Drosophila melanogaster: one gene and its partner. The protein of the gene in region 1 interacts with the protein of each later gene in a pairwise test. Each region holds a gene or a part of one and is shown on either strand. Other genes may lie near its edges.

The links. The genes of interacting proteins can lie anywhere in the genome.
Region 2: the proteins of Wee1 (region 1) and PGRP-LE interact in a two-hybrid assay, tested with the Drosophila melanogaster proteins (2 studies listed by BioGRID).

What each region holds. Positions count from the first base shown.
Region 1 is NT_033779.5:6,909,114-6,917,641, forward strand, and holds Wee1 (Wee1 kinase), read right to left. Parts: upstream 5,026-8,528; 5' UTR 4,815-5,025; coding exon 4,313-4,814; intron 4,169-4,312; coding exon 3,832-4,168; intron 3,776-3,831; coding exon 3,071-3,775; intron 2,970-3,070; coding exon 2,836-2,969; intron 2,740-2,835; coding exon 2,588-2,739; 3' UTR 1,977-2,587; downstream 1-1,976. Other genes in the region: Rat1 5'-3' exoribonuclease, read left to right, coding at 1-1,779; x16 splicing factor, read right to left, coding at 5,930-6,287; CG32829 (uncharacterized protein), read right to left, coding at 6,570-7,274; nop5, read right to left, coding at 7,785-8,049, 8,228-8,528. UniProt on the Drosophila melanogaster protein: Acts as a negative regulator of entry into mitosis (G2 to M transition). This kinase specifically phosphorylates and inactivates cyclin B1-complexed CDC2.
Region 2 is NC_004354.4:15,798,557-15,806,966, forward strand, and holds PGRP-LE (peptidoglycan recognition protein LE), read right to left. Parts: upstream 5,325-8,410; 5' UTR 4,771-5,324; intron 4,535-4,770; 5' UTR 4,152-4,534; coding exon 3,953-4,151; intron 3,884-3,952; coding exon 3,584-3,883; intron 3,521-3,583; coding exon 3,407-3,520; intron 3,192-3,406; coding exon 3,127-3,191; intron 3,055-3,126; coding exon 2,695-3,054; 3' UTR 2,597-2,694; downstream 1-2,596. Other genes in the region: CG15602 (uncharacterized protein), read left to right, coding at 1,118-1,165, 1,237-1,481, 1,540-2,017, 2,083-2,340. UniProt on the Drosophila melanogaster protein: Peptidoglycan-recognition protein that plays a key role in innate immunity by binding to murein peptidoglycans (PGN) of Gram-negative bacteria and activating the imd/Relish pathway. Has no activity against on Gram-positive bacteria.

The sequences.
Region 1 (8,528 bases):
CAGACTCTTGAGATGCCGAATCTGCCATTTGAGTACAGTTTCGAGCGCGCGTTGGACGACTGGGTGTTCATGTGCTTCTTTGTGGGCAATGATTTTCTGCCCCACCTGCCTAGCCTGGAGATTCGCGAGGGTGCAGTAGATCGATTGGTGGAGTTATACAAGAAGTGCGTTTACAAGACAAGGGGCTATCTCACCGACTCGGGAGATGTAAATCTTGACCGGGTGCAGCTGATTATGACCGACTTGGGCAATGCCGAGGACCAGATCTTCAAGAGCCGACAGCGACGCGAGGAGCAGTTCAAGGCCAGGGACAAGGCGCGCAAGAGGCAGGAAAGGAATCAGGACCACGGATCCTTGAATCAGTCTGCTTTTGGCGCCAGCGCCGTGGGTCCAAACAGCCAGCAAAGGAGCGTCGGCAACTACAAGGAGGAGGCCGCGGCACTTCGTAATAGAAAACGGACGAGTGACATGGCCAATTTGGATGACGAAGATGAGGAGGAGAATAACGACGAGGTGCGATTGTGGGAGGATGGCTTCAAGGACCGCTACTACGAATCCAAGTTTGACGTGGCACCGGGTAACCAGCAGTTCCGATACGCTGTAGCCCTGCAGTATGTCCGAGGATTGTGCTGGGTTCTTAAGTACTACTATCAGGGCTGTGCCTCCTGGAACTGGTACTTCCCATACCATTATGCACCCTTCGCATCGGATTTTGTCAACATCCAGGGACTGTCCACGATGTTCGAAAAGGGCACAAAGCCGTTTAATCCGCTCGAGCAACTGATGGGCGTCTTTCCGGCAGCCAGTAGTTCACACGTGCCCGAGCCGTGGGCCAAGCTCATGTCCGATCCGGAGTCACCGATCATTGACTTCTATCCGGAGGACTTTAAGATCGATCTGAATGGCAAGAAGTTCGCCTGGCAGGGAGTGGCTCTGCTGCCGTTCGTCGATGAGAAGCGTCTCTTCAAGGCTTTGGTTCCCTACTATGATCAACTTACTGGAGAGGAGGTGAAGCGAAACAAGCGTGGAGACAATTACCTGTACATCAGCAATCAGAGTCCGCACTACAAAAAGGTGAAGAAAATCAGCGAAAAGGATGATGAGAGCGTTTGCAAAGCCATCTCATTTGACGGTATGCGCGGCACTTTGGGAAAAACCGAACTAAACACTGCCATCAGCGGCGTTCTTAAGTCGCCGATTTCCGGGCTATCGGACATTAATGACAATATAACCGTGACGACCACGTTCAGGGATCCGGAATACGATGAAGACTACATTTTCGAAGCGAAGCGCCTCGAAAACGCCGTAGATCCGCCACAGGTGCTGCCAAATGAGCAGTCTGGTAACAAGCATCGTCCCGTCATCGGTTTTAATAGCCACTTGACCAGGGCCTACGTTCCGGATAGTGGTCACCGCATGCTGAACGCTGGCATAAGGAACCAACAGGGTGGCGGTGGCAATGGAGGTGGAGGAGGAGGCTACGGGCAAGGAGGCGGCTACGGCCAGGGAATAGGCGGAAACCAAGGACAGAGCTATCAGAACAATAGCCGAAACTATAACTACAACTACAACAATAACTACAATCAGCACCAGGGTGGCGGCTATCAAAACAACTACAATAACCGACAGCAGCAGCAATATGGCCACAATCAGAGATTCAACCAGGACAATTCGAATCAGCAGCAGCGCAACTTTAACAACTATAATGGTCCAAGGAACAACAACTACCAGCAACAAGGCGGCAGCAGGCAACAGAATCAGAATTATAGACGGTTTTAGGTGTATCATACAAACAATATAATATGTAGCGCATAACAAAAGTGTAATCCATATTAATTTACATTATTTTTTAATGAAGAAAATATACTGATTAAGGATTTCCAAACAAACTCATGCCAAGTTCTGAGTTTGTTCTTTAAATGAAATACCCATTGCATTTCTATCAAAGCAGCTTACAGCCAACATCTAGTCTTAGTGCCTCAAAGAAAATAAGTCAAATTACAATAATGATCATTTCTCTTTCCATTGATTGCGTAAAAAAAGCAAACTAGCTGGATAATACAAAAAAATGAGACGATTGTTATTTTCAGATAAGGAAAATGGAACATAATTTGACAGGAAATTGGATAATATCAAAACAATTTCTAGTGGAGTAAACAATTGAATTTAAGAAAAACTTCGCAAACATTTTGTTTTAAATCCGGAGTCATAATAAATCCAGTAGTTTTTATGGAATAGCATTCGCTATATTTAACGAATGGAATGTTATTATTTCGATTTCCATGTAACATAATAAATATTTTAATTTCGAAAACAATACTCATTACAACTATGCGAGAATCTTAAAGTTTACAAGGGGCTTTTCTTAAAACGATTGTGCTTTCTTAACAGGGAAAAGTTCACTGAGCTTGAAAAATATATAGATTATATTTACGAATGCTTCAAAATCCATGAGCTTAAACGAAAGCGAATAGTTAGAAATATGTATCGATTATATGAATACGCTTAAAAGGTAACACAATGTGAGCTTAGTTCACGTTCGATTCGGAAGAGTTTAGCTATCGGTTCGGCATCTGTTGCGAGCTTATCAGATATTGGTGATAACGTTCTTGTTGCGATCGGATATGCTGTCGAACTTGCCATGGCTGGAGAATGGCGTGCGCATGCGTCGCGTGAAGCTGCGAAGGCAACGCTGTCCATCCAGACTGTCCGGATTGTTAGTCACCGCAAGAAGATTGACTAAAATGAGTTGCAGAAACGTTAGAAATTGTAAACATCCAGATAACCAACCACCTTAAAGTTTAAGTTGTTATACAACTATTTATCTTATCTTACCTCGTTGCTCGAGCAGTTTAATCTGTTTTTTGGCCTCTCTCAGCTTGTTCATCAGTATCTCGTTCTTGCGCTTCTCCACGGTCAGCTCCAGGCCGAGCTGCAGCTTGCTCTTGGAGTCAACAGCACTCAGAATTCTGCAAATTAAACGAACATTATATGTATTTAGTGTGAGCACATTTATCTTAAATGCAACTAAATATGATTGTCGCTTATACTGTCGACTCAATTTACTTACGGATGACTGAATATAGACTGCGAAGTGGGCCTCTTGTCGGGATAAGGATGCATCATCTGGGCTATGAGCTCGTTAAAATCCCTGCTCAGGCTCGGCAGAATCGGCACCTTGCCATCTCGCAAGTTGTGCCATTCGGGTCCATTTTTAGGCAGCGGACCACCGCCGGCCGCCTCGAACAGCGTGATGCCCAGGGAAAATATGTCGGCCTTGAAGAGATTCGAATAATCCTCGTGAAGGATCTCCTTGGGCAGGTAACGACAGTCTCCCTCCTCGACGTAGGGTTCCTTAACGGAGGTCACGTGTCCCAGGTCGCCGATCTTGTACGTAACCAGATTCTCTGAATGGCGCAGTTCTTCATAGACGCTGTCCATGCCATCGTCATCTTTGGTCTGCTGCGGCTGCACCTCCACCAGCTTGTGTGCATTGGGATTCATGGTGGAGAATATGTTTTCGGGCTTCAGATCCATGTGCACCAGGTCATTTGAATGAATATAGCGTAGGCCCTCTATCACATGCATGAGAACAATCTTTAGCTCTGCCTCACCCAAACAATGATCTTGGATGCGCGCGTGCAAGCTGCCACCATCGCAGAATTCATTCTGTATCAGCATATGATCGTCCTCCGCCCACGCGGAATAGTATCTAACCACGTTATCGTGCTTGCCCAATACAGCATGGGCCCAGACCTCGTTCAGGGCTCTCTTTCTGCAAGCAAATAGATTGTTAAACGACGCTCGTTGCAATAACTAATGAATACTCACTCGAAAGAACTGCCTGCCACCGGCTTCTTACTCTTTTTAATCGCATATATGCAGCCATCTAGTCGATTGACGCATTGGAACACCACACCGAACTCGCCAACGCCGATTACGTTGACTTGCATGAACTCCCGCTTGAAGCGACTGATGTTCGTGTCGTGCAGGGCCAGCCGCTTGGGTGCCTGCTGGTGGATTTCGCGCATCGAGTCGCCCGCCTCCTCCGTCACATCGTCGTCGCAGGCATCACTGAGCAAATACTTTTGCATAGCATTCACGTTCAGGTTGAGGTTTTCGCGTCCGAATTGCGTGCGACAGCGCTTCTTATTGTGAGCCATGAGGCCTAAAAATAAAAAAAATGATTATTAGATTGCTAATAAGACTAAGCTGGGATGGGTTAAAGTGGAGTGCAAATTAAAGCAACGAACTGGAAATTGATACCTTTATTTAATTAAAATATCAAAAGCGAGAAACGTTTTAAACTTACTATCTGGCGTGAAGGGGTTCACATTTGCCGTGTCCTGGGTGGGCAGTTTGCGGTTGTGCAGTGGCAGAGATCGCGGGCGCTCTGACAGGCGGAAGAGGTCGTCGCTGCGCCTGGAGGCATTCACTGCCGCTGCTGCCGCCGACAGATGGTTGCTGCACTGCGTCGTCGACTTCTGCAGGATGGTCTTTGGAGTGGCCGGTGTGCTAAAGAGTCGCAGGGCCCGCACCTTTTGGCATGGCGGCGACATGGACACGTCCCCGTCGCCGCCTTCTTTGCCTATCTTACTGTCCAGCTGCTGCTCCTCACCGGAGGATAGCTTCGGCCGCTGCTGAAGGGGATGCTGCGGACTCGCTCCCTCGGGCGTGTCCTTGTCAAAGTCATCATCGGCGAAGCGGAGCTTGCGCGGATTGAAGACCTGCGGCGATGGCGAACGCGATCTCAGTTCGACGCTTGAATCGAGTGAGGTGACGCTCATCTCGTGCTCCGACTGGCGGAATGCCATTGTTGCTGTAGCTGTCCAGCTGACCACGTTGAAAGACGATTCTGTTCGTTATTTCTGATTTCAGAACTATTTGTATGGAAGCCGGCGGCAGTAAAGTAAAGGCAATAGTTAAAAAAAATGCAAAACAAAACACAAAACAAAATTTAACTGGAGGAATGCTAGTCTAATAATGTGGCCGTACCCGATGCGCAATAAAATACCAGCTCTGACTGAAAAAATACTAAGTAACTGGAAGTGCAGAGTTACCAAACAAACAAAATACTAAACATCTGGCAAAAATACCAATTTAAATAATGCGCACCTACTTCTAAACTGAGTGACCAGACTTGTTCAAGACCGCATAAAGCCCGCCAAATTCAAATGGAAAACAACTAATTTTGGCATTTAATTTATTGATTGAATATCTGTATTTTAGTGTTCAGCGCATTTGCTACATAATTCAAACACACATCTCAAGAATCCATACATATGTATTTTTTTAATACTTAACTATGACATCAATGTATGAATAATTATTATGCACTGTTGCAATACTTAATTATTACGAATATAGAAACACATCATACAGAGATTGGAGTCAAATAATCAAGTTGTTGTGTTGCATAAATTGAAAATTGTGTAAAATTGACATGAAAATGGTGGCGATGCTTCGTCCTCTGCACATTCGAGTATAATTCCAGGGTAAGCAAAATAAAATCCAAGGCAAATCAATTTACATAGCAATCCTGACTAGATCGTTAATCTGCGGCTGCCGATACATTTCTATATCTTAAATTTCCTTCCGTCAAATGATTTTCCGAAGCGCTCTCCTTTGTTCTGCGTGTGCTTGTATTTGTTGTTGTGTTGGAACATTAGAATACCTAAATATGCAAACTCGAGTTCCACTATAAATTAAAACCCTTAACTAATATGGTTTTGGACAACTAAAAACCTTAGATGGATACTGCATGAAAAAGTATTTGGGAATCTGTCTTGTTACACGTGAGGTTGTTTCTTTTGGGAATGAGGATTAGAGTCCAGTGCGTGGAGAGCCCATCTCGCCGGATTCATCGGGGGGTTGCAGCTCCGGCCCTCATCATCGCATGTCGGGCTCCGTCTGCATCCGTTCGCTGTCGCTAGTCCCTTGAAACGGATCGTGAGGCGGACGAGTCACCACGACGCCTGGGCGGCGATCCACGGCGCACCGCTGGCGACGCCGATCGAGATCGGGAACGCGACCGCGGCGATCCCCTAACCCGGTCATCGTCCTCATCCTCATAGCGCCGTTTTGGCGGCGGCGGTGAATCTACCGCTCCACTGCCGTTGCGCTCGTGGTCGCTGTACCTCGACGCCGATCCGTTCTCGTCCCGTCCGTTCGAGCGGCCGGAGCGACGGCCCACCGAGCCGGCGGAGCGACTGCGGGATCGAGTTCCGGACTTGGAGCGAGTGCGCCTGCGTCGCGATGTGCTCCGAGATCTGCTGAATGAGTTGCTTCTGGAAATGAAATGGGATAAATCGTCGTGATTAGCTATCAGGCTTTTCAAAAAACGTAACAATTTAAGCTACCTTATATATGTATATACTAATATACTAATACATTTAAATATATTATAGTGTGCTATATTATTTGAAACATTGTAAGTATCAAAACTAGCTTTTAGCAGATTAAGTTTTAACAGCTTATTGAATAAAACACAAGACAGTATAATATTCTAGAACCTCTCCCAGTTTTAATTCTGCATTTCACATAAAGATCACATGTATAATATAGCTTGCTCAATGCTTGCCGCCCTTCTTTTTGTAGTGCTTGTGGCCGTGCTTCTTGGAGCCCTTCTCGCCGTGCTCCTTCTTCTCCTCGAAGCTGTCGCCGTACTTGTGCTCCTTCTTGTACTTCTTGTGGTCCTCGTCGTGGTGACCCTTCTTGTAGTGTCCGTGGTGCTTCTTGTGACCCTTCTTTTTGCCGCCCTCGTGCTTTTCGCCCTTCTTGTGCTCGCCGTGCTCCTCGGCATGATGATGGTGCTCCTTTCCATACTTCTTATGATGTCCGCCCTTGTGCTCATCATCGTAGAACTTCTTCTCCTTGATGTACTCGTCCTTTTTGAACTTCTTGTGGTATTCTAATTCCTTGTGACCCTTCTTGTGCTTCTTTTTGTGATGATGTTTGCCGCCCTTCTTGTGAGCGCCGTGTTCATGCTTCTCACCATGCTCATCCTTCTCATCGTAGTGTTTCTTCTTCTTCGATCCCTTGTCGCCGTGGTGGTGCTCGTGGTCTTCCACCTCGTGGTGCTTCTTCTCGTCCTCTTCCCATTCCTTGTGCTCCTTGTGTCCGTGCTCACCCTTGTGCTCCTCGTCACCGAACTTCTTCTTCTCGTACTTGTCGCCACCCTCCTCCTCCTCGGATGATGAGGCCTCCTTCTTCTTGGCTGCCGCGTAAGTCAGCAGGAGTCCCAGGACCAGCAGCAACTTAAAATGACCATGCATCTCGCATAGTTTTCTCGTTCAAATGGCACCAGTTGCAATCGCATTTATATACCACGCCGTTGACCACAAAATGGTCAAAATGACTGGGCCTGGCATCATGATGCAAGCAATTGGGGCTGACGTAAAAACTTTCTGCTCCATTGGTCCCTTTACCGCAGTCAAACGTACTTTTTACCTCGCAGCGAGTGACGGATTGGCCTCCAAAATTGGGAGCTGCTTTTGAAATATGTTGCTAAGCTTCGCAGACAAGAACTGAATGCCTAAGAGGTAGCTTAGTTCTTAAAATCAAAGGACATTAAACAATTGCAATTGCTTTCTTAAGAATTAAGTATATCAAAACCAATACGAATAACATATTAACATTTGTATTTTGTTATGCAAATATTACATTTTATTTCTAATGTACACCGGAAACTTTAATCGTTTTGGTAATTATAAAATCCTATACTTTACAGTAAGGTAACCTATGATGCTAAAACTTAAGGCCTACTAACTAGTCAAGGTGGGAAATTACTCCTGGTGCTTTGACTTTTTCTTTTTCTTTGCTGGTGTTGGCTGATCCTCGGGCTCTGGTGCTGCCGCCTCCTCAACGGCCTCCACCTCTTCGTCCTTCTGCTTCTTCTTCTTTTTCTTCTTCTTCTCGGACTTGACCTCCGCCTCCTCCTCAGCAGGTTCCTCCTTCTTAACAGGCGTCTGCTGTTCGGACTCGGAGTGCTTGCGCTTCTTCTTCACGTTCAAGGTGTTGTCGGCCTCTGGTTGGTAGGTGAACACCTCGCTAAAAAGTTAAGAAATAAATTAAATACACTGAACAATCGAGAGATAGCCTGATTGTAAACCCAATTTCGCTCAGACAGCCAAGGTTTATCGTCATCTTAATCGGATACATGCGAAACCTTTTGGGTATCATCACTGGAAATCTGTTTACTCTTATATAATTGACAGCTAAAACATACCTCTTGGCCTGGTACTTCTCGAACTTGGCCTTGGCCTTGCCGGTGCCGGAGAGTTTGCGCAGGTTGCCCTCCTCCAGGAGTCGCAGCCGAGACTCCAGTTTAACCTTGTGAGCCGCTCCTAGCTCAAAGGTAGCCTCTTCGCCAAAGGCATCAACACGCGTGGCAAGCGACGCTTTGGCGGCCAGTGAACGCGACATTTTGCCCTTGTTCTTCTGGCTTGCCTGTCCCACCAACTGGGCGTGATAGATCAAACCGTACTTTGGAGTATCCTTCTTGGTCTTCAGCGCACGGAAGAGTGCTT
Region 2 (8,410 bases), on another chromosome or scaffold:
CAAGGATAATGCACCGAACATTCCCATTGGCTGCACCCACATAAATTAAACAAAAAAGTCAAATTTTGTTTGAATTGCGTTGGCAAACAAGACGGTATACCTGCATATGTACCTGGACTTATGTGCGTACTTATGTACACATCTACACACTCAAACACTCGCGTGTATATAGGGCTAGAAGGTTTCCATCTACCTGTTACATATGTACATTGGAACCGATTATATGCTTATTTATACAGTACGTATAGATGTCACATAATGTTTTCATGGAGCACTTCCTATTGGAGTCAAGGGGAATTATATGCTCATATACATCGAGTTCCAGGGATTGCGTTTAAACGCATTATAACTTAATTAAACTATATATAACTTCCTGTGGCACAGCAAATAGTATAACTTCTCAAAATTACTTACATTGTAAGTGTATTGTTTGCAAAACCTGACTTGTTTGCCCTCATTTTATTGTTTGTTTTCGCTCACTGTTTGCTTCTACTTGCCGTGCTAAGTATTGTTAAACCGAATCAGAGAATGTTGCTAAATTGATTGTGTGGACAAGTCAATCAATTGACGTCTTAGCACCTCAAAACAATTGCACTGACGATACCTGACCGAGGCCGATAGACCTTTACCCTATCGGTAAATAGCTGCCTGTATAACAGCCCGTCTCCACCGGACCAAAGTCCACGCTCGCGTTAGATAACTATCGAGTTAGGTGAAAAATCTCGGATCTCAATGAATCATTTGAAAAGTGATCAGTGATCAGTCCTCGATTGATTTGTAAACAAAATAAACTACTAAATACATTTACAAGACTAAATACTATTCATTAACAGCTGTTGTGTGCCATGGACAATCGATACCAGGACTCACTCGACTATCTCTAGTTCCTAACGATCTGGTCACAACAAAGCTCAAGAATTTAATAATATTGATATTAGACTAAACCAAAACAAGGAACAGCTGATTTTTAGAACGCTAATGCGTTTAAGTCGTAATCGATAGCTCACCCACTGTACACTGTACACCATCCCTAATTAGAACTGGCTTCTTTCAAAACAAAGCAAACGAAATTTGAAACTTTTTCAATTTATATGTTCCATTGGTGACTCTGGTTGCAATGAGCTGCTTTGGCTGCGGTCGCAAATATGGCCTATTCTGCAAGGAGGCAAGTGCCATCAAACCAAAGCAAACCAACATATATCACCTACTTACATTGTGTTAAATCCGAAATTTTAGTATGGATGCCCCAACTGCGGCTACTCATTCTGCTCCAAGTGCTTGAAGAGACCAATGCCCGTGCCCCGTCATGCAGGAAAGGTGCACAATGTGTGCCTCATATGCTACGACAAACTATCCAAACTCCAGGCGAGCGCCGATGCCGAGAAAGTTATAGACTGTGATGCTTTGCCGGGGATCTTAGTCACCAAAATGAACCTGGCTCCTCCATCCAAAAGTTCAGATGGCGCCGATGCCCTATTCAAGTAAGTAAAATACCACATTAAAACACCGATTCTGAAACTATAATTCGATTAATTGCAGCGACAGCCTGCCTGTGGAGGAGCTGCCACAGGCATTGGTTCCCAGTTCCAGTTCGTCACCACATTCCAAAGATCACAAGGATCATATTGATGAGAACCTGGACAGTGAGTTGACCAAACGAATGCAGGACTATAAACGAGTTGATGCCACCGATGATGAGATCCGCACCCGTCTGGCCAATCTCACTGGGATGCCGCATACGAAAAGCTACGATAAGAAAGATCTGCTACTGTCCACCGACCAAAGAAACGATCAGGAGAAAATGAGGGACTTGCTCGCACAATTCGTTGACGAAGCCCAACTGGATCAAAATATCAGCAGGCAGAGGGATGACTCAATTTCCGACATTGAGAGACGTCTGCGAGCTCTGCGCGATACACCCGTCGATTCCGATGCATGCCCATCGAGATCCCAGATGGAAAGTATCGCGGACAACGAAGAGGATGACGAGACACTTCTACAGAACATATTGAAAAAGGTTCGCATTTATATAGTAGCATTATTTTTTTTAAGCCAAATCATCACTTTCGTATTCCCATTCAGTATGTAGCAGAATCGCGCTTACCAGAACCTTCCGAGAGTGAAATTAGTCCAATTAACACTGAGTCGCCCGGCAACACCGAAGAATTGCCCTGGTGCAATATTTGTAACGAAGACGCCGACTTCCGATGCCACGGATGTGGTGGGGAACTCTTTTGCACTCTATGCTATAAGGAGTGCCACGATGATGACGAGGAGTACCGTGCTCACGTTAAGGAAAAGTATTCGGCTCCGCCAAAGCTTAAAGAAAATCACTTCTAATTGTTAATTGTTTACTTGACTGTACGCAAATTTTTGTTTAATTATAGATTGTTTTCAGCAAATGCATTACTATTGTCTGTATTTATGTGGTGCTAGCTCGCTCATATTTGTGCAGTATAATTGTTGCTTCTCTTTCAGTTGTGAATTAAAACAGGTAGGCGATGTTGGTTCCGAAACATCTTGTGGTTTTTCCACCTTTCAGCGCTGCAAAAACTATACCAAAATATAAAGTAACTTAACGAAACTGCCAGTAGCTGGAAAATTTATAAACAGGTGATTTAATGTTCAACATTATAAACGTAACTCGGGTGCATTTAAGTCTAAGTATGTGAAATGGTGCTCTTCTTTTGTCCCTCATTGTTCCTCCTCCTCGATATTGTAAAAGTGGGGCCATGTCTGTATCTCCTCGTACAATCGCCGACCAGGACTCTCCGTCGAATTGCACTGGCAGTGACAAATTAATCTATAGTCGGTGGATATGTGACCATCCTCAACGCCGCGGGCCAACAGATTGCGGCACATATTCAAGGCGTCTGCCGTCGGGAGTTCTTTCATGAAGCATCCAATGAAACTGATCCCCAGCGAGATCCTGTTGTAACCCAGAGTGTGGGCGCCCACCGTTTTCCATCCGCGTCCCTCGTAGATGTTGCCATCGCAGCCGACCAGGAAGTTGTACGCAATGTCATTCCATCCCCGCGACTCAATGTGGAAGCACTGAAATATATATACATAATTATTATATAGTTCGGAGCATATATGATTTAATTTCGCTAACGAAATACTTACCTGCATGTCACGGATAAGTCTTACGTTGATCGCCCGCTTTTCTGAACTCTCTGTAGCTGTGTGTACTGCGTGGTAAAACAATATTTGTTAATCAAGGTTTTAAATATATTCGAAAAGAGTTATAATACGATATAATCTTAGGTTAGTGAGTGCTAAGCATGATGGTCAGATCAAATAGTATAAATTGTTTTAATTATTGCGTCATACTTTTACAGACAACTTGATTTATAATCAGTTGGCAAAAAAATGGTTAAAACGTGCAGCAAACTTGAATACTCACAGATAACCACATATTTAACAGGCAGTTGCAAGGGCAGTGGCTCGTCCATGGGCTTCTGTGCTAGCCACGAAGAGCGCGGAATGATGGCGGACAGCTCCTTGGGTATTTTGAATTCTGTAAGTGAAATCGGTATCCTATGGTTAACGTGTATGCATCCCCTGGTGAATGATAGCTTACTCTGGCGCCTGATGAACACATCCGAGCGCACCCTCTCCTCCGACTCGTCCTGATAGTCGTCTTCGAAATGTGTCGGAGTTTTGGGAGCGTTATCTCTCGGTGGTGAAACATGCCGCCGATCTCTTCGGTTTTGAGTAAGGCCATCGGCTATGATTTGTATATTTCCATTAATATTGGTAACATTGCCGATATGGACGTTCGTGGAGTTGCTTATATTAACGTTGCCCAAAGTCTGAATGCTGTTGATCGAGTTCATAAGGTCCCTTATGGTGTCGCTGATGATCGAATGCTTTTTGGTAGCTTTAAGGTGGGGATATATTGAAAGTGTTATAAATTGAATATAGAAACTTGATCTTGAGTACTACGCACCGATTTGAGTGCCTAGTGTCATAGTGCTGATTTCTTCACTGGTATTTTGGTCGGCATCCTCCTCTTCCTCGGTATAATCGTAGTCCAAGCTGTCCACAACCGAGGACTCTGCAATGGACTCCAGTTCCTCGTCCTCCTGACTAGCCAACCATTCGCGAGTCCGCTCCTGGCTCAACTTTTTGATTCCCGATTCGGACATGTCCGTAGTTTTGGCTTCTGTTTGCTGCCAATAAATGCGCGTGTATCTCTCGGCTGGCCCTTACTTTGTTTATCAATATTGTGAGTTAGAACTGCTCTATTCTCTGATTAGTGTTCGTGTCGTGTCCACCTTACACGATAAGATAAGGACGTTCCACAGGCTATCCACCATTATATGCGCAGGTGCCGTGGTGAAATGCTTTTTTGCATATCAGTCCACTTGGGGCTTTTTTTTTGCATATTTAGTCATGTGTATTAATTATTGTCATGGATATCGAGGATCAGTCTAGATATCGATAAGTATTATCGATGTTCGCATTTAGAACAATTCCACTGCCTTTGAAGGGAGCTTAGCGGTATCGTACATACAGTGGGCCGCATCCACTAGTTGAGTTTCAGATTTCGATAAGTATTTGATTAACCATATAAAGCTTACAAAAATTTAAATACGAACAAAAAAAAATAGTTTAAATTATCCCTCTTTAACCGTTTTGGACATATATTTCTGTATACATATATATATTGTTCTATGAAAATATATAAATATATATAAATAAATAAATAAGTAAATAAATATATATAAATAAATAAATATAATATATATAAATATATAAACATACAAATGCTTTGTCCAGATCCGAAAACCCCTTATCACTGGCTAAAATATAACCAGTTTGGTTCACCAATCAAATCGACTGGAGGTACAATGCACCCAGTGCTGGAAAAGATGAGCTTTCCAACACTCTTGCCTATATTGGGCTTTAATGCTAAGCAGTTAACTGCAACACTGCACCGTGTTTGATAATAAACCTGTAGAGGCAGGTGATTACACCCAAGTCAGCCCATCTTTAAGCATTAGTCATGGGGCTAGAGGTACTCAGATAAACCACCAAAACCTAATTCATGCGCTGTAAACATTCACTCGACCACTCTCGCGTATGCGCTGTTCTTCCCTCCAAGTCTCTCAATTACTTTCTTTATTTTTATATTTAGTTACTGCTGGCTATTCAAGCCAACCAAAGAGCTACCACAACACGGATTTAATAGTCACTTAGAGCCATTAAAAGAGAATAAACTAAAATGTAACCAACTTATAAACTAATTTTATACATTGCTTAAGCGATAGTTTGACGTATAAAACTGAGGAGCTTATATTTATTACTTTTGACTGCACAGTGGAATGCATTCAAAGGTCTGTTTATGTTTTTGTTCCGGTGTGACCGTATTCCGAACAGGAACACAGTCTAATTTAAAAGTTAAATTAAAAGCATATCAAAAAGTGAAATAAACTTTTTAAATATCTTCGCTAATTGGACAAACAGCTTAAATATATTGTAATCAACAGATAACCTAATCAAATATACCAAAATAGGCATTTTTTAGTGGAGTTCAAAAAAGGGCGGCAATCACCTTCAGCTGAATCAGCTGTCAAATAAAGTGAAGCTTTGGTATTAAAGCTTTTAACATAATTTAGGGGAAGAGAAAACATAAAAATGTATGAAAATGAAAGAGAAAAACGGATTCTCTTTATGTAAAATCTTAGAATTAACGCTCTCTTAGGTTCCACAATTGGTTCCGATTGGAACCGCGCACAAAGAGAGCGAGGAAGAGAGCGAGAGAGTTTCGAGTCGAATTGGAATGGCCAGAAAAATATATTTCTGCTTTCAGTTTCGAAAAATTTTTCGATGGAAGCAGCCGAGTGCGAATGCGAATGCTCAATGAGAAGAGCTTTTACTGTTTTACTTTTTGCCTGAAATACATTTTGAGATAATTTCTTATTGGTAGTTCTGTTTATGCCATCGCTTGCGTCTGTCTGTGTTATTTCGATTGCGAGAGCTAGTTAACATTAGTTAAAATTAAAACAAACGCCAGCCATAAGATATAATCGAATTGCGGTTTTTTCTTCTCGTACCGAATTTCCATCCACATCCGCATCCACCATCCGCCATCCGCCAAACCCATCCCGTTCCGTTTGTTCGTCGCTATCCGTCGGATATGTTGTTCTATCGGTGTACCGTACAAGTACAAGTTCGTACCCAGTCCAAAGCCAAACAGATTGCGCCGTGTGCCGGTAAAAATAAGCGCAAAGTTTGAGAAAAACCATCAACATCAGATGATGTGCCCTGGAGGAAAAAACGTCGCGGATTTAATGAAATCTTAAATAATGGGTTCGCTTTAGCACAATTCGACGTTGCATTCGGCCAGCGGTGTGTTGTGTAAACAAAGTTGTAGTTATAGTTTTAGTTTAATTAGCTTCGCATAAGCTGCAACCGGATCTGAAACAGACCGTGGAAACAAAAAAATAATAATAATAATAATAATAATAATAATTGCATTTCATGTATGCCAGTGTAAATTTGCGTTCGTGTGTGCTAAGTTTACATATAGAGAGCGTGGAGTGGATTGGGATTGGATAGTGTTGGATTGGATAGTATCCCTATCCGATTCGCGCCGTTATTGTTAATGCGCAGGTAATTCGGAGCGCTTTTCGGCCATTCTGCCCAATACCAATATTTTGTTCTACATCGTGTTTTTATTTTTATTTTTTTTCCAACATTTTTTTTGCTGTGCTGTGCAGTGCTGTATGCGTTTATTTGACAGCTTATGAATCACCCACAAAGATTTATTTGTGCTGATTGCAGCACAACTGTTGCACCCCATTCAAAAAAAAAACAAATAAATAAATTAATAATCACAAAAAACACCCGCACATCGTCTTCGGGAAAACTACTGAAGCGAGTTGGGCCAGCAAAAAAAAAAAAAATACGTATAAATACAAATAAACAAATAATACCCAAGCCATTGTTCCCCCTCCTTAACGATTATAATTACGTTGCTTTTTTTTTTGCAGTGCATTTATTAAGGAATCCGTCTGATATCAGAACAACCTTAACTAACGCCTTTAAATCAATGATATGGTGGCCAATTCCCATTCCGTCGAACAATCGAATCGAGCGACTAGATTCGGTAAACATCGACCAAGTGTAAACTCGACTCCCATTACCACTGTGTAAATACCAGAAAGTAAATCCAAAAAAAAGAACAATAATTCAACCTGCAGGGGAAACTAAAAACGCACGATACACTTATTTGGAAGTGGATTTAAGTTTCAGTAATGCCAGCCAATGAACGACCAATTGCGATACAATACAGAAACACAAACAGAAACCGAAACATAAGCGAAGAGTAAATAAATGCAAATTAAAACAAAAAAGCCGGGCTCATGACACAATTGGTCATGTAAATCGCGAAAGATAAACATAATCCGTATAATTCGTATAAATATCATCGTAGTCGCGACGGTGGAAAATGTGCAGTGCGGTTAAATCCTAAAAAATGGATCGGTTTTCACTGATAAGCATCCGCATTTGGGTTTATTTCTTCGATCCCTGCAAGGTCCGCGAAAAAAGTTCGCCGAAGAAGGTGCTGTGAATAGCCCAATCAATCCGCACAGCTCTCCATTTCGAGATAGAGATCTTCTCCAGCTTTCGGAATCCTCGCACATCTAGACCATATCCTAGCCAATCGGAGCAGCCGCGCAATAAGTAGCATCTAATCCTGGAGCTTTACACCAATGCGATATGGATTGTGATTACTCGAAGTTTCTGTACAAAAGTAAGTAAATGCTAAGATTAGATACGATGATAATATTTTAAAATTTACCGACGGCAACTTACCCCGTTCATTAGTGGTAACTCGATGATGAATTTTAATGAATTACAATTTATTGTGCATTTGTAATTTTAAAATACTCTTCAATTTTAATTGCACTGTCAGCGATTCTTGGGTTTTTCTTCTTAGAAGCAAATGATGAAAGTCTATTTAATGTCAAAGCCATAAAATTCGATTTTAGTTCTATAGTCTGGCGAAATATTCAACTATTTAGACAATTTATGAATGCTGACAAAAAATAATGTTCTATTAAGTGGAAAAAATGTTGACTAAAGAATTGAGGGATTAATGTTAGAGGAAACAAATCTGATAATTCAGCAATAAAATAAGAAGCAATAATCTTGAAGACTTCGGGCCTTGAAAAGGTCCCATTTATGTTCCTCTCCAAAAACTTAAAATAACAAGGTTTTTTTTTTTTTTTAAATTGGAACAGGATTGCGTCGGTGGTAAATCGGCTTTTTCCGCTGGAAAAACAACAAACAAAGTCTTAATTGAATCCTTATGGGATTTTGTAGGATTATATTTACATACATATTGTAGATTGCCTAATATGTAACGTAAAGTAGCAATACTTAATACTTTGATAGA